4 linked regions of the Medicago truncatula genome follow. Each later gene encodes a partner of the first gene's protein in a complex. Links are inferred from orthologs where the notes say so. Each region holds a gene or a part of one and is shown in the gene's direction. Other genes may lie near its edges. The genes, in order: short-chain dehydrogenase TIC 32, chloroplastic; protein TIC 20-II, chloroplastic; protein TIC 22, chloroplastic; protein TIC 20-v, chloroplastic.

Region 1 (6,905 bases):
TTCACATGGTCAAGGTTGGGGATGCTTCAACTTTTCACAGGTTTCCTTGGTTACAGGACGGGATGAGACTCTCGTTCATGAATATAGCATACATAGTGGACATTATTATCCCACATTTTCAAGTAGCTTGACTTCATTTCTCTAAGAATATCGTTACATCTTTTCACCTCTTGAAATGTCTCTTTTACATTTCCACCACTTACATGACATTTATTATTGTTTGGAAATTATAACTGATTCACAACTAGAACTAACAATGGAGCTGTTCTTGTAATACTTGTTGAAAGGAGATGTGTTATGTACTTATGTGTAGATAGTTATGTTTAATTCCTTGTTTACAGTTGAAACAATTCGCTTATCTTAGTTGCATGAAGAATTAAGAGTGGAAAAGTTGTTTCTGTAGTATTTGTCGACTGGAGTAATGTTATTCCAATTTAATTATGTTTGCTTCCTTGTATACAGTTACAGCAAATGGGGTGCATATGGACAGTCAAAGCTTGCTAATATTTTACATGCCAACCAACTTACAAAACATTTCAAGGTATGGTATGCTTACTTCTACTATATAGTGGTGTTACTTATTTAACATGTTATCCAGTGAAGTAGTTTATTGATAGTGTTATTATCTCTCATTATTTTAACCTTAATCTCGATGTAACAAGTTCTATTTTATTATTTTTAGAAGTGCTGTAGCATTAAATCTGCATATTTCTTCTGTGGAAAATTACTTTCTTCTGCAGTGTGAACTGTGAATGGAAGAATTTTGATTTAGAGTTACTTGTTTTTTTTACAGCATTTGTCTTCAAACTACACTTATAAATCATAATCCTTTTTACAGCATCTGCTATCTTAATCACCTATCAATTGGTGACTGGTTTTTTTATTATAAAATATCAATGACCAAATATTGTTAAACATCAACTTTAGTGGATGTTTTATCCGCCTCCATTCCAACTCCACCTAGTTGGAACAGGCTTTAGTTGTTGGTGTTCCTTCATTCAAGTCTCTGAAAAAGACGCAAACTTTGCATCCCTTTTGGCAACCATAATCATAGCTTTCTCAGTCTCCCTCCCTTTTGATGGTTTTGCCACAATAATTATCTTTGATTTATAACATTACTTGTTGCATTTTGATCAGGATGATGGTGTGAATATCATTGCAAATTCTCTTCATCCAGGAGGCATTGCCACCAATCTTTACCGTCATAACAGTGCAATCAACGGTAACTATTATAGCATTATACTATTCAGGTTGTCTATGAATTATTATACAAGTCCTCTGATGTGGCATTCTAAATTATTTGTTCTGTATCATCTACCGTTATGTGGCACTATCTTTCTTTGTTAACTTCATGTTACTTGTCCTAAAGAAATTTTCGGTGGATTTTACAATGATATAAGTTCTTATCTGTCTACATTGCTCTAGGTGTTTTATCCTATATTTGGTACATGATTATTGTTCAGAACCCACCATCTAATAATATTATGATTAAGGTTGGTCGTTGCCCCCCTCTGAATTTTGAAGAATACAAACATGTTTTTTTTTAACAAGGAAGAATATAGACATGTTAAAGACCACAATCAACCTTGTAAGCATTCATCGGAAACATGATCACCATGATCGCCGAGAGTCTGAAACAAAAAGACTTTGTACTCCCTCCTAACTATTTTGTTTGTTTGTACTATTTTTATTTCAATTCTAGTAATTTATCTTTCTTATACTATTAAAGAAGGCTAATTTTCTAAAGTAAGCCATACGTTTTATAAAATCAACAAAATTAATTACGTTTCTTAATTCGTGCATTATTTGCTAAATTGACTAATATTGAAGGACAGAGTGAGTAATTTACAGCACTTGATTGGTACACCAAGTCATCCATAATGTACAACAACAATAAAATCATCCTAGAAGTTGGATGCTTTGTCAGTCTCTCCACTATTCTTCCCTAACCATTTACATTATTACTTTATTGTCATCAAGCACTTCATTGTGTTTATCTGACTACTACTATAAATACATTTGATGATTTTGAATTGGGTGGTTTTTCTGGTTTGTTTGTTTACACACTGGCATTCTGCAGTGTCCATAAAGTTTGTTTGCTTTTTCATGTGTAGAGATATTGACAGTAGCTGAGTTCTATAGATATACTATTGATGTTTGATTTATGCAACAGGTATAGTAAATGTGGTTGGCAAACTTGTGATGAAAAACGTTCCACAGGTATGTCAAAATCATTATGACCTACTATTTATAAATGTGAGGGGTCATGTCAAATAAATATTGGTTGTTATAAACATTTATTAACTAAACATAGATTATAACTTTATAAGCTTTCTGCTAGTTGCATGTTAACTTTCTCCTCTATCTAAATGTAGGGGGCAGCCACAACCTGCTATGTAGCATTGCACCCACAAGTGAAGGGAGTTAGTGGTGAATATTTTTCAGACAATAATGTGGCCAAATCAAGTTCACATGGGAAGGATGCTGATTTGGCTAAGAAACTTTGGGATTTCAGCATGAATTTGATCAAGGACAAATAGAATAACCAAGTGTTGTATAAGAATGAAAATGACATTGTAATGTGTGTGCACGAAACTAATTGATAAAAAGAAAATGGAAATAACATTCATTGTTCATGTCAATGTGAAATGCATCTATAACATAATTGATTGTCACGTTTGAAACAAGATTGTAATTCAATATGAAATAGGGTCCCTTAATATGGACCTCTTGTAAAAGGGTCCAAACATGGTCCTCCTAAATCAAACCGAATATTGCCCTTTTTGTTCTTTGGTTTATTATTATTATTATTATTATTAGGTTTTGCTGTTCATTTAGAGTGAAGTGGTAGACTCCGGAAATACACTTGTGCGACATTGTGATGTTAATGTATGTATTTTGAAACGGATAGAGTAATTAACATGAAATATTTTTTTTGAAATAATGAAATATTTTTATACTACAGATTTTCAAATTCATAGTTTACCTTTTTAATTCATATTTTACATTTTTATTTTTTGCAAAAGGCAAAATGGCTTATATTAAACACAAGGTAGAGTACAAATATAAAGTCATTAATAAGGCTTCTACCAAAAAAAAAAAAAAAAAAAGGCAATAAGGCAAGCACTTTATGCAGCAAGAACCCCACTCTGAGGAGTGAAGACAAGAGGACAACCATTCCTTCAATCAATCCAACTCCCTGACTGAGTGAGTGTAATTGTAGAAACAACACAACTCAACTAAACAACTTAGTACCACACATTAAATTCCACCTCACCAACTTGGCCACATCCAATCCAGTGCACTAAATTACTAAGGGTAGAAAAGAACTCTTATATCGTTTGAGGAACTCTTTTTTATTTTATTTTTTTATCTTTTATTGAGTTAGACTTATGTCCCCCTAATTTTATGTTTATGTTTTTTTATTTCTTGAATAAATTTTTAGTTTATAAAAAAATTAGGAATTGAAGAAAACATGTTGACATTTTTTCAAAAATAAATGTTGTTGGTGTATACAAATTAAATCATTTGATTGAAGAAAACATTTTCCTCATTTAGTATACTTCAATCCTTTTATCTCAATAGATAGAATATAATGTAATGAAATAAGTTGTAAAATAATAATTAAATGAAATAAATTTAATGATTTTAGACGGAAAAAGAAAAAATCTTCCCATAATTTGAAATTAAAGAAAAAAGTTTGAATAAATACAGAAATGGAATTAGATTATTTTTTGAATGAAGAAATTGAATATCGACAGATAAAATAATTACTTTTATGGACAAAGATAAAATGTTTACTTTTTCTACTATTTCAATATATACATATATGATATAATAAAAAGAGATAAAAAAAGTTTGATGTGTTTCCATATCATCCAGATATATAGTAGCGTCACGTCAGTTACAACAAGCACTGCAATTGCAATATATCTCGGTCACTGCTTTTGTGACACACGGCAGAGAAAGAGATTGATACGCAATATGTGGCCATTCAGCAAGAAAGGTGTTTCTGGTTTTTCATGGAACTCAACTGCTGAACAAGTCACACATGGAATCGATGCTACTGGTCTCACTGCCATTGTTACTGGTTGATCTTTCTTTCTTAATCATTTCCCAAAATGGTATCTCTTCATGCAAACAATTTTATACGTACGTGAATGTTTATGTTAATATATGTAAATTCAAACAGACGCTAAAAAGATTATGATGAAGACTACTATTATATCTACACGAAAATCTTTTTAGTGTCTATTTCAATTTGCATACTTGAGTTTATATATTAACATAAACATTTGTGAGATTGATGAGGGAGTTTATATATATAAATATCCTATATTATATTCATAAACGTTTTCAGCTTATGTTAATAAGTTCTTTAGGACAACTTGTGAAAATAGTTTAATTTTATTATATCTTTTGGTTGAATACAATTTTGATTTCCAGAAATTGCATAAAAAAATTATGCAGTATTGTATTACTTTGTAGCTTTGCATCACATAAGCATAGGTTTTGGGATGAATTATTTACAAGCTTTTTCGATAAAGATCTAAGACCCCCCATATTTAACTCTATCCAATTTAGCCTCCGCAATACCACTTTTTTGTGTTAACTCAGGAGAAAGGTCCGGAGTTTGTAAGAAAAGTTTCGCCAAGAATTGTTTCACCAGGAATCAAACTCAAGTTATCCTGAACACTAACAATTCGTTTTTGGTAAAGCGTATTAACCACTTGAGTCCAATTGCTTGGATGGTGCAATATCCCTTTAAAACTACTAGTGGTGGTAGTAAATAATAATGATCTACAGCCAATCTCAAAATATTGAAATTTGCAAACAGTTTTCTTAGATTAATCATGATTTATCTCTTAGTTTTTTTCTCTTTATCTTCTTCTGGATTACATATCCATAAGATTTTTTAAAATGGTTTGTGAATCTAACTGTGGGCACATTTTGACAGCAAATTTTTGAAATATAAAAAATTGTGATTGTAAATTGTAATGCAACCACGACCACAATTTGAAACCCTGTATATGCATGCTACATTGAAATCATTGATAAATAAATATCGAGATGTGTGACTATTTTAATGCGGTATAGTATATGGTCATTGTGGTAACAGGAGCATCCAGCGGCATTGGCGCTGAGACTGCTCGTGTCCTTGCTTTGCGCGGTGTGCATGTGATTATGGGTGTGAGAAACTTGGTTGCTGCTAAAGATGTCAAAGATACAATACTCAAGGACATTCCCTCAGCCAAACTTGATGCCATGGAGTTAGATCTCAGCTCATTGGACTCTGTCAAGAAATTTGCATCTGAGTATAATTCTTCTGGTCGTCCACTGAACATCTTGATGTAAGAAAATGAGATTAATTTAGTCATATAATTATCAGATTTATTTTTACTGTTTTATTGAAGTTGTTAGTTACTTGTTCTGTCTCATTATATATGTTTGTTATTTCTATGTTCCAACTTCCAATTGTGCTTTCTTAATTACAATCATTCAAGTCAACACATTAGTACTAATTTTTCTTGTTTGTTTGTTTGCAACTGTAAGAAATAATGCAGGAGTTATGGCATGCCCTTTCAAGTTGTCCAAAGACAACATTGAACTGCAGTTTGCCACCAATCACATAGGTATGTGGTGCATGTTACTGTTTTATTCTCCGGAAAATTCATTTGATGACCGACACAGTGACATTAATCAATTTTAATAACCTTTTACTCTTCTTGTAATATGAATTATTCACAAACTTTCCAGCACTAGAGTGGAAAGGGAGGAGAACTTTGCCACTTGCAATAGTTTATAGGGAGCACAGGACATGTGTTTTATTGATTTCTAATTCAAAGAATTTAACAATATCAGGGATAAAAGTGATAGTTTGTACATCACTGAAATATGTGTAATTTACACTTCTGATCCATCTCAATCAACTTATGTAACACATCAAGTAACTATTTTACTGTTTTTTTTTGTTGAGAATTTTACTGTATCTTTTAATACATAGGATGAGAAGAAGCAATATTTCTGATTTTATTTATGAATTATTGTAATTACGCAGGTCATTTTCTCTTGACAAATCTTTTGTTGGATACTATGAAGAAAACAACACGCAAAAGTAAGAAAGAAGGAAGAATTGTTAATGTCGCCTCAGAGGCTCATAGGTTCGCATATTCTGAAGGAATCCGTTTTGATAAAATCAATGACGAATCAAGGTAAATGTCATGTGATTGATTTTGTTTTCTTCCTTGATTACATTTTATTAGCAATTGGCTAACATTAGTTGCATGGTGAATTAAACTTGGAAATGTGACCTCTTTATACAGTTACAGCAGATGGGGTGCATATGGACAGTCAAAACTTGCTAACATATTACATGCCAACCAACTTACAAAGCATCTCAAGGTATGCTTACTTCTACTACATGTTATATGTTTTACCATAATTCAATATAAGTTAGCATTATTGTACCTCACTTGTCTTAATGTTTTGGTTGATTAATAAAAAGGATGTCCTTAGTTAGGTATGTGTTCTTTTCTTTGTCCCTTGAGCTTTTATCAGTTGACAAAGAAACTGATATTTCTGACTAAACATAATCAGACTATAGCATGAGTGCATGACCTCTTTGGCTTTACGGCCTGTTTGGTAGAGTCCATAAAAACAACTTATGATATGTCCCTAAGTTGTTTTCAGCTTATTTCCATGAACTCTACATGATAGCTTATGAAAACAACTTCTAGCTTATATGGAAATAGTTTGACTTTATTTTATCTTTTATCATAGATATATTTCATACATACGCACTTATATGAGGAACTTTTATTCGATAAGTGCGCTTAGTTAAGTTGTTTATCGAGATAGAGCCTTAACTTTGCTTGTTATGTACAATTAGTTGCTTAATTATCTAC
Region 2 (5,594 bases), on another chromosome or scaffold:
GTTAATGAAAGGTTGCAATATAAACTACATGTCTCATATATAATTAATGAGGGAAAAATAAGAAGGTATAATTAATGACGACACTTAATTTGATTTTTTTTTTTTTTTACTTTTGGTAAAACAACTACTACCTCCGTCCCTAATTATAAGACACTTTTGAAAAAATAATTTGTCCCTTTTTATAAGACTCCTTTGATATTTTCAAGTACATTAATTATTTCTTTACCAACATACCCTTATTTATTTTGCATCTTTTTCTTCAATCAACAATAAATATTATATTGAAAACATAAATTAACTCTCTCTTAAGGATAAAATTGTAAAAACAATAGTAATTATATACAAATTTAATACTACAACCAACTTTCTTAATCTCTGCAATTTTGGAAAAAGGCTCCTATATTTAGGGACGGAGGTAGTATTAATTTTGAACAGAGGAGTAGCATTTATCAAGTTCAAGATTGAAGCAGCCGGGTACTTACTTGACAAGACTTGCAATTTGATCAAAAAGTTCAGAGATTGATTCTTGATCTGCCAAGACTGAAGAAGATGGTTCAACTGAAGGTGCGGTCGGTGGTTCAACATCTGATTTGGCTTTAGGAGGCACATCATTAGAAGAACCATCAAGGGCAACCTTGTTGAAGCCAAAAAAAGAGACCAAAATCAGCATAGAAACATATGTCTATGTGGACGCAGTGCGCACATATCTATCAAGAGAACAGATTTTGGCAAACTTATAGTTTGCAGCATAAATGTATGTATTTTATCACAAACTCAACTGTTAATTTTCCAACCAATGATTGTAATTTTGTGTTTTTTTATGAGGAAAATTCAATCTAAACTCACATAAAGCTATGTTACAGTAGCACTGACACTTCAGATTTAAAGAAACAACTTAATTTGCAGCTTATAGCATAAGCACTTACGTATAAGTTACTTCTATAACAAAAGATAAAATTAAATTGAAGTGTTTTCGTATAATCTATAAGCTGTTTCCATAAGCTATCTTATAGAACATATGAAAATAACCTGAAAACAGCTTACGAACATATCATAAGTTGTTTTCATAAGTTCTCCAAAACAGTCTCTCAAGTGTTTATGTCAGTAAATTAACTCAAATAAGTCAATTCAAACAGCCACAAACATTAAAGGCCTCTCAGGTGGTGTCTGACACGGAAACAATACCGGCACTGCGTGTCAGTATCATGTTCGGTGTTCGTGTCTGTGTGTTCATAGATATGAAGTGTAAAAGGGAGAATGTTTACCTCATTTAGTTGAGCCTTAACCCTGGGGCATAATAGCATATGATTAGGTGGGCATCCCTGCACAAAGACATACATAAATTAGTGACAATTTGAATTAAAAAGAAAGTATAAATATAAATTTAGGAAGATAAAATGTGATATGGAAAGAGATAGATACCTTGGTGAAAAAGCGGAGAGAGTTGTTGGAATTAGGAGAGAGACGAGGGAAAGAGATGGAGGAATGAGAAAAGCGTGCAGATTTGGTGGAAGCTGCAGCTGCAACAGTGACAGTAGGAGCAGCAGAAGGTGAAGTGGAAGACAACGAGGAAGCCATGAAACTGAAACTGAAACAAGCAAGTTTTTTGATTGATGTCGGATCGATGAAATCTAAGGTACTTACTCTTTGTTGTGTTCAGTGGGGTAGCTCAACTACACTAGCGCACACTTACGATATCCAATGCATCTACTTTTTTTTTTTTTCAAGTGAATAATATTTTTCACTCTCTCTCGTAAGAAATAATTTACTTTGAAAACTCACACAAAAATAAAAAACAATTTAAGGTTCAAACTTTATACTCGATCAATACAAAGAAAAAAAAAAGTTCGGTCCAACACTTTCAGCTGAGTTGGGCATTGTAGATTCAAAGGGATGGGCCTGTATTTATATTTTAAATATGAAGAAGTATCAATCAAAAAAATTATTATAATTAATTATATTGATTAAGTTTAAGTTTCGAGTTCATGCCCTATTAGCACTCTTGAGAAAATGTAAATGAAAATCTCTTTGTAATTGTAATTTAAATATTAAAGACTTTCTTGCATTGAATTAAGCATCCCCTCACTTTAAATTTCTCATATAAAACAATATTATTATTGAAATCTAAATTTTATAGTTATATATATTCAACAATGTAAGTGATTGATAATATCCACCTACAACATAGTTGATCCTATCGAACCTGAGATTTTGTAGTTGATGATGTTGAATGGCTTTTAAGTAAGACATTTCCTTCAGTTGTTGCATTTATCTTAGTCGCCTGCGGCCTTCTTCTCCAAGTGAATCCGACGTTCAAATCAGTGAGTGGCATGGGCGGTAGGTGCATATGTGTAAAGTGAACGCACTTGACCTCATGCTTATGAGCCAATATTTATGGCGGCAATTTAAGGTTTTAGTCCTTGTACCTTTACCTGGGCAACTGTGAGAGTTTGGTCCATGGCAGATTTGTGCCACTGATCCATGTTGGTTGTCCAGATTTAATTAGATTGCTCTTGTTCCACACACCCTGCTGGTTGTTCATCTTCAGTATGTGTGCTCTTATGCCACAAGCCTCTTTAGCTGTTCATTTGTTCTCATTCGATTCCGTTCACTCCTATGCCGCAGCCCCATGTACTCCTTTTTGCGAGGAGCCCTTTAGAACTTATTAGTTGTTGGGTGTCAGCCCATACCAGAACAGTTACCCCCCCCCCCCCCCCCCAACTATTAGTTGATAGACTCGAGTGATAGTTGCGTATGAAGGTGGATGGGAAGCCCTTGTTGTTTAAGTTCGTTCATACGTCATTTCGTTTCTCTGCGAATCAAAATATGCTTTGGGAATAACCTTTTATTTAAGAACATCAACACAATCATATAGACGACAAGCATCGCTAACATTCTCGTTTATTATTGCATTGTACATGTCTTTAACTGTGCGACCACCTCGTGAAGCTTGATTCCAAGATAAAGTACCATTCACGTTAACTTACAACGAAACCTTAGCCAACGAAGTCCCGATAAGGCATCCAAAGGATGTTGTGGTCTACATGCACTCGTGAAGAGTCAGATCATACAAAATCATATACTCGAAGCATTTTGGAGCCCTTCATTTTATCCAATGATTGCCTGACCATCGTGCCTCAAGGGTAAATCCAATACATCCACACAAGTTCTATAAACAGGTGTGTCACATGGAAAACAAGGTACACACTCTCATTTCAAGAAATCTTCTCAATGCTCGTTGAAACTTCACTGACTTTAGCGTTGGGGTATCTTTGCAGGTACACCCTCTTACATTCATGAAAAATCTGCTCTAACCACCGTGAACCAACACAACAATTGTTTCACACCACCTCCAATAGACTCTTACATTCGATGACAAGAACAAATATAAAACACGAAAAAAAGATGTACATACATATACACCATATGTGAAGATATTACATCTCGTCTTATTTCCAAAAATCATTAAAAAAGTACTCAAAAGATATTCAATTAATCATATTATATTTTATAATCTCAAAAAAAAGAAAAAAAAATTACCAGAAAATAAATAATAGGGTTAATAGTGCTTTTCACCCCTGTAATATATGTAATTTCTGGTTTTCGCCCCCATAAAATTTTCGGTTTGATTTTCACCTCGTAAAAATTTTATTTTCCGGAAAACACCCTTAATAGGCCATTCAAAAACCAAAATTTCTTGAAAAAAAAATATGAAAATGGCCTATTAGGGGTGTTTTCCGAAAAATAAAAATTTTACGATGGTGCAAATCAAACTGAAAATTTTGTAGGAGCGAAAATCGGAAATGACATATATTATAGGGGTGAACAACACTATTAACCTTAAATAATATATACTTGAAAAATAATATAGTTTTGGAGAATGCTAATCATTGTCCTTGGGACATTAGATAAGGGGATAAAAATAGAAATATAGTATTAGAAAATAGTGAAAAATGATAAATTTAACTTTTTAAAAATCAAAATGTTGAAATCAATGCAAACATGTTACTTTTGGGCAATGGTTAGCAAGACCCTATAGTTTTTGAGAAATGATATTTGTACAACAATTTTGGTACAACTTTTGTACAACTTTCTCTCTCATACTCACATTATATTTTTATTTCTCTCTCCAATATTTTTTACCAATGAAAAGAGAGAATAATAAAAGTTGTACCAAAATATTTGCCAAAATATCACTACTCATAGTTTTTTACCGGCCCAATGAAAGTAACTGCATGCAGCAGCAGATAAAGGATCTAAAACAGTTGTTTAATTCCATTTTGCAGAAGTTACCAAGAACCGATTCTGAAACCAAAAATGGCTTCCCTTTCTATTCTCCACCGTCCCTGCATTTTTCACCACACCCCCAAATCCTCAACCCTAACCCTAAAACCAAAACCCAATTCCCTTTCATTCTCACCCTTAACTAAACCATCACTCAAACTCAAACTCAGAAACGGCGTCGTTAAAGCAAGCACATCCACACCCGCAGCACCAGAACGGTTAATCTCAATCGCCGCATACGCACTTCCATTCTTCAATTCCCTTCAATATGGTCACAACATTCTCACCCAATACCCTAAAGTCGCACTCCTCTTCGACCCAATCATCCCTTTCCTCTCATTCTACAGATCCCTCCCTTACGCTTCGTTCATAGCGTTCTTCGCGCTTTACTTGGGAATTGTGAGGAACCCTATTTTTCCACAGTATGTTAGATTCAATGCTATGCAGGCTCTGACATTAGATGTGCTTCTGGTTCTTCCGATGCTGTTTCAGAGGATTTTCTCTCCTGGGAGATATGGATTAGGTTTTAAGATTTTGGTTTGGTCGCATAATGTTGTGTTTGTTTTTAGTATTCTGTGTTTTGTTTATAGTGCTTTGTGTTGTCTTTTGGGTAGGACTCCTTACCTGCCTTTTGTTGCTGATGCTGCTGCTAGACAAATCTGAATATCATATGATAGATTATAGGATTACTATGTGTTGTATTGAATTGTATCAAACAAACAATTACCTCTCTTTTGCTGTTCTGTTAGTTATTTTGGGTTACTTGAATTAATGAATGAATACAATTAATTATCCTTTTCAATTTATGGAGTGTTTGATGTATCACATTATTTGTGGTATAAGATGAAATGTGAAATGAAGTTAGATTTTATAAACTTTTATGGGTTATTTTACGATTGTGAAAAACGTAACTAAACAGTGAATCCATGATAACTCACTAAATTCTTTGACAAATAGACAACATTACCCGAACAAAATTCACTTCTTGGTTTACATGGAATTTGACGTTGCCCATGTACTTCCTAATGAAAAGTACTAGAAGTGGCAACAACTTATCACTTGTTATGCAGTTCTGAGTTTAAGAAATCTCATGATTTATGGATTAAAATTTGGAAACTTCAAGTTCAAGAGAGGATCAAATTCTTTCAGTGGCTCGCGGTTCATGGTAGGTTGATGGGGTAGTTCTTGTTGTAATTTGTGTGGGGCCGAGTCAGGAACTATTTTACATGCTCTGAGGGATTGTTCTTATGTAATGGTGCTTTGGCTTAATGTTGTTAGATTACAGATCAAGGATAATTTTTTTGCTGTGA
Region 3 (7,176 bases), on another chromosome or scaffold:
TCATTAGGTTACAAACACATTCTTTTTACTTCGTTAGAAAAACACGTTAGAATATATTCGATCCTCTGTGGAAAAATTAGAAATGCATGTTGACTAAAATGGACTATACACAAACTTATAAAATTATCTCCTTTTGTGGTAATGTTTTTTTATGGAATCTCCTTTTGCGGTAATAGTGATGTTATTTGAACACAATTTTGACATGAACACTATATAAAGTATATTTTGGTTAAATCGACATAAATTTAGGAGTTAGTTGAAAACGAGGCTATATTGCTAACGCGTAAGCGGCCACATTTGCATGTTCTGAATAAATTTAATATGAGAATTTTCAAAAAATAACATGCCATAATATCTCCCCTACTTTTACTAAAATAGTCGGCCACTCTTTTTGAATCAAGCTTATTTACTGACTTCATCTTTCTCACTTTTTATTTTATTTTATATGCGGTTTACATGAATTACCAAAATATACAAACACACAAAGACACCGTATTTTTATCAATTTTCTATGTCCATTAACATATCTGATTGAAAAATAGGGAAGTGTAAATTTTACTAAATGTTACACTGTTACTGGTGGAAGATTTTTCTTCTTAAAAAAATAGAGATTAAACTGCATGCACGATGTTGTGCGGTGAGCCTTTTTCTTTTTGTATTAGTCTGATATTTAAACATAAAAACCACCGTCTTTATTTATTCTCCTTGGTAGGTCTGCATACACCAATAGCAACTAATAATAAAAATATCCGCGCTTATCCTTCATCTAGTATAGATCAAGAATCTGGAATTTATCAACAGCAAAAAATAGTATGATCTATTTCCAATAGACATGTGTTGGAAAAAGATGAGAAGTGTTATTAAATTTAAAGGTGGGTTGTTACATTTTTTTTTTGGTACATGGTTGTTAGATTATTTAATAAGTATGAGAAAGTATAACTAAATCATTTCATTGTAATAAACCATTTAATATAATGAATATTAATAAAGAGATACAAACTAGTAGTTATAGATATAGCCATTAATTGGATTTGGCCATTAATAAAGATATAGCCATCATGTAATAAACCATTGTGTTACAGGAATATATTCAACAAAATCAGCTTATCACACTCTTTTGAATCGCTTCCATGATGTTGAAAACAACCACAACTTTAATTGGATTTGGAAACTCAAGGTATCTTCCAATATTCAATTTTTTATGTGGCAAATTTGCCTTAGTTCTCTACCAACAAAGTCAATTCTTGTATCTCGTCATATAGCTCCATCAGCGACTTGTCCTATTTGTAATGCATCAGAAGAGGCTATGATCCATTGTCTTTTGACTTGTACAATAGCTAAAGAGGTTTGGAAGAAGTGCTTCAATACTTCTCTTATTCCACCTGCGGATGACAGCTCCTTAGGTTCTTGGGTGGAGAATTGTTTTAAAAATCATGGAATTTTCCCACTTTTAATCATGTGGAAGTGTTGGTGTGCCAGAAATAAGTTCATTTTTGATGGCATAAAGACACCATTCTTTATAATTGTAGCAGAGTGTAATGCTCTTTACATGCACACTGTCAAGGCATTTGGAATTGGGGGCACATGTGCTCGTGGAAGTGAGGTTGCACGTGAGGTTTGTTGGAAGAGACCGGATACTGGATGGATTGCTTTGAATGTTGATGGGAGCGCTCTCACTAACCCAGGTGCAGCGGGCTTTGGAGGCATCATTCGAAATCATGAAGGTCGATTGATGCTTGGGCTTAGTGGATCTGTTGGTTGGTCTAATATCTTGTATGCCGAGTTGATGGGTTTGCTTAAAGGTATGTTGTTGTGTTGGGAAGAAGGGTACCGGAAAGTTCAATGTTTTACTGATTCCTTGAAAACTATTAGACTCATTAATGAGGCAAACACATTATATCATCTTTATGGTAATGAGGTTGCTTTGTTGCGTAAGCTGCTGCAACGTAATTGGCAGGTGCATATATCTCACATCTACCGCGAAGGTAATTCTTGTGCGGACTGGTTTGTGAAGACGGGTGCTAGAAACAATGTCGACCTCACAGTTTGTAGAAACCCCCCTACAGATTTAGGCCCCTTTTTAATTGCTGATGCTAATGGTACTCGGTTTGTGAGACCTTAGTTTTTTTTTTCTTCCTTTTTTCTTTGTAACCAAAAAAGATATAGCCATTAAGTTAAGGCATAAGCAACTTTATTGATTTACCTTAAAATAAACATCAATCTTAAGAGTTTTCCAACAAATAAGAAAAATCAAGCCTACAAGTTGAACCAAATATATGAGATGTCATTTTGATCGAATGTGAAAAACATCCGCATCTCTTTTACATCAATATTTCGATGTGTGGAACAAAATTAGCAACAATAAGTTATTAAAGTAACCAAACAACCACATACAATAAAATAAGATAAAAGGAGGAGGAAGAAGAGGAGAAGAAGACAACAATATTTGTTTATCCAATTCGGTCCAAATCGATATATGTTTGGAGGAGATAATTGTTCTCCAATCCACCATCAAAGAGTTTCTTACAAAGAGATACATGGGCTCCCCGACCTTAGAATTTCTCCCCAATAGACACTAATGTTTAGTCAATTGATTCTCTAAAGGTTCCCTCTTTTGTACTCTCTAAGCTTGTCTTTTTTCACACTCTTAAACCCTAAACAAGAGGTCATATTTATAAGATGTGTTCAACCCTTAAAACTTGCCAAATACAAAAAAAAAAAAAAAAAAAAAAAAAACGTGTACATGTGCTCCACAGATGGAGCATTGTGCCCCGAGCAGTAGCAAGAAGACTATTGCAAAGCACATCCATGTGCCCAACGTATCCTTTTTCTATGTGCCCCATGCATGAGGTAGTAGCACATAGTCTTCGTGAAACACAATTTCAAGGCATATTGAACAATTATCCACATTGCTCTTAAATTGATGGTGATGCCACTTTAACCATCAACCACCTTGTTGTTTGCCCTTGCTTCCAACTACACATGTATTCTCATAAGATTTCATATTTACCTCTTGAACCCTCAGAATTACTTCCAGTCTCTTTATGGCCCTTGGATCCTACTACACTAGGCATTTTAGGTAGTTCCACAAGTTTTATCATAGCCTTTCAACCTTTGGAGTGATTATTTACGTCTTCTTGAAGATTTCCTTGCTCTTAATTGTTTCTATAAAGCTACTTGGTTTCGAGTCTTGCATCTCCTCAGCCACAATTAAAGCATAACACACAAGAATTCCACAGTCATACTACTTTGGTACAACAATATCCCTCATTTTCGTTGTCTTCAAGACACAAGACATTCACACTCTTGGCCTTGTCCCAATCTCGATTTGGTCTGCTTGTGATATGGTGGTCAACAAATGCACCATCACCCTTCAATGCCTATGTACACTATTGTTGAGTCAAGACTACTTGTATCCTCACCTTCAACAACTTGAAATCGTTGTCTTCAACAATTTTCTCAATATCCCACTTTATACTCATGGTGCTAGAGTAACGATTTGTAAAACTAGAGGGATTAATTTACAAATTTTGAAAAACTATACAGATGAATTTTCATGACTAATTTAATCTTTTTTAAAATTTATAGAGGCCAAATTGCAATTTATAAAAAATAATTAGGGAACAATTTGCAAATATTAATTGAAAATTCAAATGTTTAAATCAAATTCATTTCGTTTATATTTTTTTATCTGGTTCATGCACCGGCAAAAAATGAACTACTATAAAATAACCAATGAACTAGTCCAAATACTAAGCGATTTGAGTCTTTTACACATATGATCAAAAGTTCAATTACCACCAACTCGAAATTGCAACTTTCGTCAAAATACTCCCTCAATTTTGCGAAACTTCAAAACCTCCAGTATTTTGTCAAATGTGTCTATCGATTTTGCATGTCATAGAGAGTAATGGCAAAATCAGAGAAGAGTGCAACATACGTCTGACAAAATCAAGGAGGTTTTTGAAGTTTCGCAAAATCGAGAAAGATTTTCCACAAAAGTTACAATTTCGGAGAAGAAATGATTGACAATTCACTCAAAGTTCAATTTCAGAAGAGATAATTGACAATTTCGACAAAGGATTTGACGAATGTTAAATCAAACCTATGAACTCATCTTATACATCAATTGTTTCTCAAGGAAGATTAACCACTCGACTCTAATTCACTATTGGGCCAAAACAAACTAGACGCTTAACCCACAATTTTGACAAAATCCGAGTTTGTAGTTTATCCACGATTAGAACTTAGAAGTTAGTAGAAGAAACAAAAATGGAGTCACAAGGACAGTGGAATCCGCTTCTATCATTTTCGCGGTTCATCCATCAAAACTGTAACCACCTTGCAACTCGTTTCGAAGACACAAGAAAATTCGCTGGAACCCTAATTCAATCTCACACTCGCACCAAACCGGCTTTCGCCGCTACTTTAACTTCCAACCACGTCGCCAAATCTCTCGCCGGAACCTCCGTTTACACCGTCAGTAGTTCCAACAATGAATTCGTACTTATGTCTGATGCTGAAGGTGCTAAGTCCATCGGATTGCTTTGCTTTCGCCAAGAAGACGCTGAAGCTTTCCTTGCTCAGGTAAGTTCCTCTCTCAGTAATTTGTTCATTTTTTATTTTCTTGATTTCATGCTGTTAATGATTTTTTTGTTCGTTGTTTTAGGTTCGATCAAGGAAAAATGAATTTCGAGGCAATGCTAAGGTTGTTCCAATAACTCTTGAACAGGTAGTTATTTTTCCATTTCATAATTATCTCCTGCTAATCCTGGTTTTATCACATTTTGTTGATGTGAAAATGAAACCATCCTGTGTTTCGTACTCGAATGCTTTTAATTCACTAAGGGCTTATTTGAGCTTATTTAGTGGCATAAATTTTGTGAAACCGTTTGGGAGAACTTATGAAAACAACTTATGACATTTTTCATAAGTTTTGTTCAGCTTATTTCATAAGTTGTCCAAGATAGTTTATGAAAACAGTTTATAGCATAAACAAAAACAATTTAACTTAGTAATCCAAATAAAATAAAATAAAACAATTTAACTTTATTTTATCTCTTGCTATAGAAATAGCTTATATAAGCTGATACATAAGCGCTTATCATGATAAGTGTTTGTACTATAAGGTGCAAATAAGTTTTTTTTTTATCCAAAAGGGCCTAATTCATGTATCAATGGCACTCAATGAAATTATGGTTTGGCTTCTATCATATTGAGAGTCAAAGTAATTAATTAATTATGTTGGAAACAATTCATTGTTAAAAACCTTCAAGACTTTTAAGAATCAGTTGTAAATGAAATGATTCTACGTGATTTTCCCCCTTTGAATTCGTATCAATACGGGCTATGTTACTATCAGCATTTAGAACCATGTGCTACTGACATAGCACCTACAACCATGAATGTCACACCTTTCCTTTTAATAAAGGGTAAGGGGGAACCTGCTATCAGATACTTTTTGAAGCATAATAAGTATGGTTTTTATCCTGTATCTGTAACAACTTTTCTGCCTGCGTTATAGGTATACTTGTTGAAGGTTGAAGGTATTGCATTCCGATTTTTACCCGATCCACTTCAAATAAGGAATGCACTAGAGGTTAGTTCCAGTTATAATTGTTGCACACAACATATTACTTAAAAGCCAAACTAGTATTTTCATCATCTGAGTCCTATACCAGTGTCACTATGGAATGAGTTAAGTCTTATCAGTTTTAAATGTAAATCATGGAGGAAAATAAGCTTCAGTAATATGCATGATAGCTGCGGTGTGGGAATTCTGTGACTGAACAGGTAGCATATATGTTCAAGTGCTGAACTGTTGGATTGTGTTTAATTTCATTTTCGTTGTGTTTATCAGCTCAGAGCCGCCAACAAGGAAGGTTTTGATGGAGTTCCTGTTTTTCAGGTATGTTTTCTTACTTTGGCAGTCTCCAGTCCTTCAGAGGACTGATTGGGCAATGGTGAGGGTGTGGGCAGGAGATACAGATTGACATGTGTTTGTCGTTTCGTTAATGTATATATCAGTAGCTATAAGTGTGGAATTCATAATATTTTATTTTCACTGAACTTACTGCCAAGTAATTAACTGCAGCCAATGCATGGTACGGAACATATAAATTCCAAGACTGGCAAACAGCTTAAAAACCATCGAACTATTTTAGTATCTGCCCATCTGGAGTCTAATTTAAATATTTGAAAAATATTGGTAGTAATTGATCATGTTAATTTTTAACCTATTGACTAATAATCACATTTGCTTACAGTCAGAACTTTTGGTTGTGAAGAAGAAGAATAAACGTTATTGCCCTGTATATTTCTCTAAGGTTTGTCTAACCCATTGGTCTCTTTAATTGCAATTCTGGTCCCTCTCTTATGGTCAATATGCAATTTTGTCCCTCTATTTTTAATTTAGAAATTTTGTCCCTCGATATTTTTAATTACACAATTTTGGTTCCTCAGTCAAGTTGTCATCCAATTTTTAACTATGATGATGATGTGGCGGTCAAATACGTGACATTGAATATGTGAAATTGACATGGCTATAGAGTGCTTATATGGTGTTACATGTCTGCTGTACACATATGATGCTTATATGGCTATATAAACAATTTATTTTTATTTTTTTTTAGCAAAGTAGAATGCTTAGGACCCGAATTCACACCTAGGCTTTTAAACTAACATTCTTAACCACTACACCAACTCAACGGGCTACCGTAATATAGCAAGTATGAATGTGTGTGTAATACAAACAACACTTGGTGGCCGTGTTAGCTTCACACGTTCAATGTCATGTCAGCATTTGACTGTTGCATCATCTTCATTGTTAAACATTTAGGGACAACTTGATTAATGGGCTCAAATTGAGAAATGAAAAATAGGATGAACCTTAATTGCAGATTGGCAATAAGAGAGGGACCATAAGTGCAATTAACCCCAAATCATAGTTAGGCATGTAGCTTGATGGAATATAATCATATGATAGTTTTCGTTTGTTGTTTAAATGGACAGGAAGATATTGAACAAGAACTATCTAAGGTTTCCAGGGTATCTAAAGGTCCTGGAGTTTCCAAGCAAATAATGGTATAGAATCTCTCATCTCTTGCTCTTGTTTTTGTTAGTCTGTCAGAAACTTGTTACTCTGTATGAAACTATATGACCTTGAAAACAATTATG
Region 4 (5,870 bases), on another chromosome or scaffold:
CATGTCCTGGAGCACTAGTTGTTCACAGCGGTGAGGGCTTCGGTCCTGATGAATGCTTTAACCATTCAAAAGCGGTGAGGGCTTCGGTCCTGTTTGGTACCACATGCATAATTGTATATTTTGAGGAGTCTTAGTGGTGTTGTCATGTCTTGCATGAGTCTTAGCGGTGGTGTCGAGTTGTTGCATGAGTCGTTGTTGTTGGTTTTAATTATCATTTGGTTGATGTTGTTAATGATGATATACTTATATATTGATGAATTATTTTTATGACAGGGTGATAGATTTAATTGATGAGTTAGATATCTATTATTGATGATATTGTTGATTATGAAATATATACATATATTGGATAATTGTAGTTATCGTCGTTGTTGGTTGAATTAGTAAGTGTTACTAAAGTTAAAGAAGTAAGAACATTATTGTTAAATATATGTAATTGTTTATATTGTTATGATGTGATGATTATGTTGTGTCGTTTATATTATTATGAGAAGATGTTTATGATAATGATTACGAAGTTATGATGACTGTTTATGGTGTTGAATATGAGGTTGTTATGATGTTACATGATGATGATTATGAATGTTGTGATGATGATTATGTGATGTTATCTATGAGTTGTTAAATGTACTTGATGATAGTTATGTTAAGTTGATAAGTTGTCTTTTATTTATGAATTGCTAATGGAATGTTTGATGAATAATTATTATTATGGAATGATGATGTTACGTATAGTTGCTAAGTTGTCCTCTATTCATGAGTTGTTAATAAGGTGCTTTGGTGGAGAATGTTAATACGAATTAATGATGTTGTTATGTTGTATATGAACTATGAATATGATGTTGTTACGTTGTTTATGTCATTGATTATGAAGTTGTCATGTTGTATACGAATTATAAGTATGACGTTATATGATTATGATTAAGATGTTGATTATGAAGTTAAATGATGTTGTTTATGATATCGAGTTATGAATGTTGATATGATGAGTACATGATATGGTTTAGGAGTCGTTAAAAGAATTATTATTACTAATTGATGGAGTTTAAGTTGTTAGATGCATTTTGATGAATTATATATTATTATTATTGATTGTGAATCTCACCCCTTCTGCTTGAAAATGTTGCCCTTCGTATGGGTAACTTGCAGGTAATAAAGATTAGTAGGAGTGGTGGCTCAACTGTCTAGGACTCTGATACGTACGGGATGGGATTTAGTTATATTTATTTTCATTCCTTATGTATCAATTTTGAAATTATGATGTGGAGCCTTTTATGGTCTTTTGAACAATGTTGTTGACTTATGCTGAGGCCTTTAGTGCCATAAACTGTTGTTGGATGTTCACGATGTTATTGATTTGAAAACTATTCCGCTGCTATGTTTTCATATTTTATCAAGTTGTTTTAATTAAATAGTATTATTTTCTATTTAAGAAATTTTGAAATGACGTGTAACATGCCCGTTGTGGAACTACTCTGATGAATATTTGTTATATAATTGTTTTTGGGTAACGGGGTGTTACAAAAAGTGCTGAAAGAGATAGTTTTCTTTATATATAGTATAAATACTATATATAACTAGCGAAAAAACGGGCACGTGACATGTGTAAATTATGAACGGTATTTTATATGAAATTTTGATTTTGATTAAAATTATAAGTACAAATATTTGTGAAATTAAAATTGTAATAAACCAAAAAAAAATCATGTTTATCTTTTACCACAACAACACAGTAGTTTAACAAATATAATATAAATTCTTATCTTTTTTTAATACCACCAAGAATGTAACATTAATATAGGAAAATTTGTTTAAGGGTATAATTGAAATTATAAAAAATTCAGCCCAAAGTCTCTATTCCCTTCATATATAGTATATATAGTATTTTGTCAAAAAAAAAAAAAGTATATATAGTATTGTTCATGTTGTAGTGGTATATTTCCTATTTTAATGAGATTTCATTTTTCTAATTCAAATTTAATATAATATTATTAAAGGATAAAATAGTAAATAAAATAGGCTTAATTGCACTTTTGGACCCCTAACTAATTTAAATACAAAACAGCCCCCTATGTTTTGATTTTTTTGCCAATTTTGGACCCCAATCCATTGTTGACTCGGTCAACGATGACGTGGCACCCAAAGTGAGGTGCCACTTGTCAATTTTTTTTTTTTGCCTTGGGGGTCCAAAATTGTTAAAGAATCAAAACATAGGGGACTGTTTTGTATTTAAATTAGTTAGGGGTCCATAACCGCAACTTTTGGAAAGATAGGGGTCCAAAAGTGCAATTAAGCAAATAAAATATTTTAAATGAATAGTAAAATCAATAGTATATACATATAAAGTAATGTTTTTATGCCACATGTTGCCTTTGTAATGCCCTGAATTCTGGTAGAACCGTGCACTTGCGGTTTTATCTCATCAGTCATCGAATCTATATAAAAATATGAATTTATATAAAAGAATGATATTTAAAATATAAAAAAATTAATTGAATGAATTCATTTTTTTTTTTAAGAAATATTTACTATTTCATAAATATACACATATAAAATGATTTTTTTTTTTTTATACTAAAGCTAGGTTATAACTTATAAGACCTTGCAAAAAAAAAAATTATTACCTTTAAACAATTTATCTAATTCAAATGAAAGATAGTACCTAAAATAAATCATAATTCGGTGGATCACAAATGAAACATTGTTGTAGGTCATCGAATCTATATAAAAGTATGAATTTATAAAAAAGAATGATATTTAAAATATAAAAAATCAATTGAAAGAATTCATTTTTCTTAAGAAAAATTTACTACTTCATAATTATACACACATAAAATGATTTTTTTTTTTCACTAAAGCTAGGTTATAAAGGCACTGCAAATAAAAATAAAATAATTTGCTCACTAATAACATAATTTTGAATTCCAAATTATTTCATAAAAAACGTAGAGTTTTTCTATTCACACCCTATATATTTCTGGTTACACCCAGTTTTTTTAAAAAGTTTTTGATAATACCAAAATTGTCCTTTTATATAAATTTTCTTAAAATCTTGATTTCATTCATTGTCACTCTAAAATTCCACTCTCTTTCACCCACCAACGATCAAACAATCCTGATGTTCAATTAATCGTTATGGAAGATTAAAGAGTGAATCAAAACATCTTTCATTCATACTCGATTGCATATAAATAAGTGAATTTTTTCTTCTTTTTCAATAACGCTGGTTTCAATTTTCTTCTTCTTGTTCAACTGCACTATACGACAGTTTCAGTTTTACATTGTTGAGGTTAACTTAAATTCAGTTTAAGTAGGTTCATGTAAACTTAGTTTACATAATCTACTTCAACTTAGTTTACATAACCTACTTAAACTGAGTTTAAGTATGTACACTTAAACTCAGTTTACATGACCTACTTAAACTAAGTTTAAATGTACATACCTAAACTGATATTACGTATAATCATTGAACAAGGTTGAACTTTTAGATGTACACTTAAACTGAGTTTACATGACCTACTTAAACTGAGTTTAAGTATGTATACTTAAACTCAGTTTACATGAGCTACTTAAACTAAGTTTACATGATCTATTTAAACTGAGTTTAAGTATGTACACTTAAACTTAGTTTACATGACCTACTTAAAATAAGTTTACATGTACATACTTAAACTGAGATTACGTAGAATCGTTAAACAATGTTGAACTTTTAAATGTACACTTAAATTCGGTTTACATGACTTACTTAAACTGAGTTTAAGTATGTACACTTAAACTCAATTTACATGACCTACTGAAACTAAGTTTACATGACCTACTTAAACTGAATAGGGATCTAGGGTGTAACCAAGAAAAAAGGAATATGCTTTTTGAAAATTAAATTTTATGGAAAGGTAATTTTGTCATTTTGGGGTGCAACCAAAATTAAACAGGGTGTAATTAGAAAAACTCAAAAATGTATTGATCAAGTGGTTCCAGAGTACATTTTAAATAGGTGGGAGCACCCAGGTTCGATTCTCAGGGGTGATAATTTTAATTTTTAATGATTTTTGCCAAGCTGAAAAAGAGGTTTCGAGAGTGATTGGATTAGAAGTGAAATTTAATTATTGTGATGGTTTAAATCGTAAAAAATCATTAATTTAAGATGAAGTGAATATGCAAATAATAAAATACTTGCTAAATTTTTGCAAAATAAAATAATAAATGTTATTATTCTAATGGAGTATACATGAAAACTTTTGATTGGTTTGGATAAATTGCTCATGAGTTTTCAAAGGCAACCTAGACATCTAATTGAAGTATAGACCATACTAAGAATACTAGTTTGAAAGAGAAACACGTTCTACCATACCTATCCTTGTCCTTCTTCTCTTTGCCCTTTTCCCACTTTCCAGTTCCTATCTTTACCTTACCCTCCCAAACTACCATTCATTCATTTTCAAGTTTGAAGCTTTAACCATGGCAAGCTCCACCTTCTTCTCCTCTGTAGCTATATCATCTCTCAGTCACTCACGAAAACCACTTCAATCAACCTTTCTCCTTTCTTCACCAAACCCTTCTTCTCTTTTCACACTTCCAAAGAAATTCACAAAATCCAACAAACTCAGAACCCTAATTGTATCCAAATCCAATAACAGTGATTCAGCTGATGCCAGTGACCGTTTAATTTCAGCTCTTTGTTACTTCTATCCCTTTTTTGATGGCATTCAATATGGAAAATTTGTAATCACTCAATTTTACCCAATTCAAGCCATTGTTCAACCATTGATTCCTGCAATTAGGGTTTTTAAAAGCTTTCCCTTTAATGGGTTTCTTGTGTTTTTGACACTTTACTTTTTTGTTGTCAGAAATCCTAATTTCAGTAAATATGTCAGGTTCAATACAATGCAAGCTATTGTTCTTGATGTGCTGTTGATTTTTCCTGATCTTTTGGAAAGAGGGTTTAATCCAAGAGGTGGGTTTGGATTGGATTTGTTGATGAGTTTGGATAGCACTGTGTTTTTGTTCTTGTTGGTGTGTTTGATTTATGGCTCTTCTTCTTGTATTTTGGGTCAGCTACCTAGATTGCCTATTGTTGCTGATGCTGCTGATAGGCAAGTTATGTGAATGTAGTTCATTTGTATTGTATAGAAACTTATTGTTTAAATTCAGCTTATTTCATAGTGGAAAAAATATTGATTTTTTCACTTAATTAATAGCAAGCCTAGAATCTTGTAAGGAAACAATTTTATTTGTTTCTCATTTTGCTGTATTGTTATATGATTTTCAAATTCATTGGTGAATTTGAGACACTGCTGAACTTCAATACTAGTATATTGTTTATTGAATAGAACTTATGTCTTTAGTTCTTATTACATTGTTGATTTTTAGTTTAAGCTATAGTGTTATCCTTTGAGAACACTAAGGATATTGAGGCCTGTCACTGTTCAATGTGATGATTGCATATGTTGCTTTGCAATGATTGCAGTGTTATTATGTAGATTTTTCTGTAATTTTCAAACCTACGCCGATCCTAATGTGATGCAGTTGCTGACAGTATTGCAGCTGCATTAGTTGATGCATTAGTCGATTTGGTGTAGCCACAATTTAAACCCATAGGTTATTTGTTAGGGAGAAAAGGAGACATAGATCAATGAAACAGATTTCATTTGTTTCGTATTTTGCTGTGTCTTTATATGAATTTCACATTCAGGAGTTTCTTTGTTTGGCTATAGTTTTTGGTGAATTTGTGACACTGAAAAACTTCCTTTACTATATAGATTGTTGTTAATTGAATAGAACTAATGCCTCTAGTTCGTATTAGATTGTCGGTTTTTTAGTTTGATCTATACTCTGGAAACAAAGTGTTAATTTTTCAGCACACTAAGGAT

What was found.
Region 2: short-chain dehydrogenase TIC 32, chloroplastic (region 1) and protein TIC 20-II, chloroplastic share a complex: the UniProt entries of both Arabidopsis thaliana proteins name them as parts of the tic complex. The link is inferred for Medicago truncatula from reciprocal best matches to the Arabidopsis thaliana genes Tic32-IVa and Tic20-II.
Region 3: short-chain dehydrogenase TIC 32, chloroplastic (region 1) and protein TIC 22, chloroplastic share a complex: the UniProt entries of both Arabidopsis thaliana proteins name them as parts of the tic complex. The link is inferred for Medicago truncatula from reciprocal best matches to the Arabidopsis thaliana genes Tic32-IVa and Tic22-IV.
Region 4: short-chain dehydrogenase TIC 32, chloroplastic (region 1) and protein TIC 20-v, chloroplastic share a complex: the UniProt entries of both Arabidopsis thaliana proteins name them as parts of the tic complex. The link is inferred for Medicago truncatula from reciprocal best matches to the Arabidopsis thaliana genes Tic32-IVa and Tic20-V.

Annotation. Positions count from the first base shown.
Region 1 is NC_053042.1:48,849,785-48,856,689, reverse strand, and holds the start of short-chain dehydrogenase TIC 32, chloroplastic, read left to right. Parts: upstream 1-3,897; 5' UTR 3,898-3,984; coding exon 3,985-4,090; intron 4,091-5,119; coding exon 5,120-5,351; intron 5,352-5,553; coding exon 5,554-5,633; intron 5,634-6,058; coding exon 6,059-6,212; intron 6,213-6,323; coding exon 6,324-6,402; intron 6,403-6,905. Other genes in the region: short-chain dehydrogenase TIC 32, chloroplastic, read left to right, coding at 463-541, 1,138-1,222, 2,174-2,220, 2,376-2,540. UniProt on the Arabidopsis thaliana protein: Involved in protein precursor import into chloroplasts. Part of the redox regulon consisting of TIC32, TIC 55 and TIC62.
Region 2 is NC_053048.1:37,298,443-37,304,036, forward strand, and holds protein TIC 20-II, chloroplastic, read left to right. Parts: upstream 1-4,265; 5' UTR 4,266-4,317; coding exon 4,318-4,947; 3' UTR 4,948-5,090; downstream 5,091-5,594. Other genes in the region: biotin carboxyl carrier protein of acetyl-CoA carboxylase, chloroplastic, read right to left, coding at 483-634, 1,266-1,322, 1,423-1,578. UniProt on the Arabidopsis thaliana protein: May be involved in protein precursor import into chloroplasts. Not redundant with TIC20-I, TIC20-IV or TIC20-V.
Region 3 is NC_053044.1:50,226,064-50,233,239, forward strand, and holds the start of protein TIC 22, chloroplastic, read left to right. Parts: upstream 1-4,156; 5' UTR 4,157-4,272; coding exon 4,273-4,587; intron 4,588-4,669; coding exon 4,670-4,732; intron 4,733-5,524; coding exon 5,525-5,599; intron 5,600-5,860; coding exon 5,861-5,908; intron 5,909-6,266; coding exon 6,267-6,326; intron 6,327-7,011; coding exon 7,012-7,083; intron 7,084-7,176. UniProt on the Arabidopsis thaliana protein: Involved in protein precursor import into chloroplasts. Imported into the intermembrane space via the Toc translocon. May be involved in the import pathway used by proteins without a cleavable N-terminal pre-sequence.
Region 4 is NC_053046.1:43,070,471-43,076,340, forward strand, and holds protein TIC 20-v, chloroplastic, read left to right. Parts: upstream 1-4,303; 5' UTR 4,304-4,458; coding exon 4,459-5,106; 3' UTR 5,107-5,332; downstream 5,333-5,870. UniProt on the Arabidopsis thaliana protein: May be involved in protein precursor import into chloroplasts. Not redundant with TIC20-I, TIC20-II or TIC20-IV.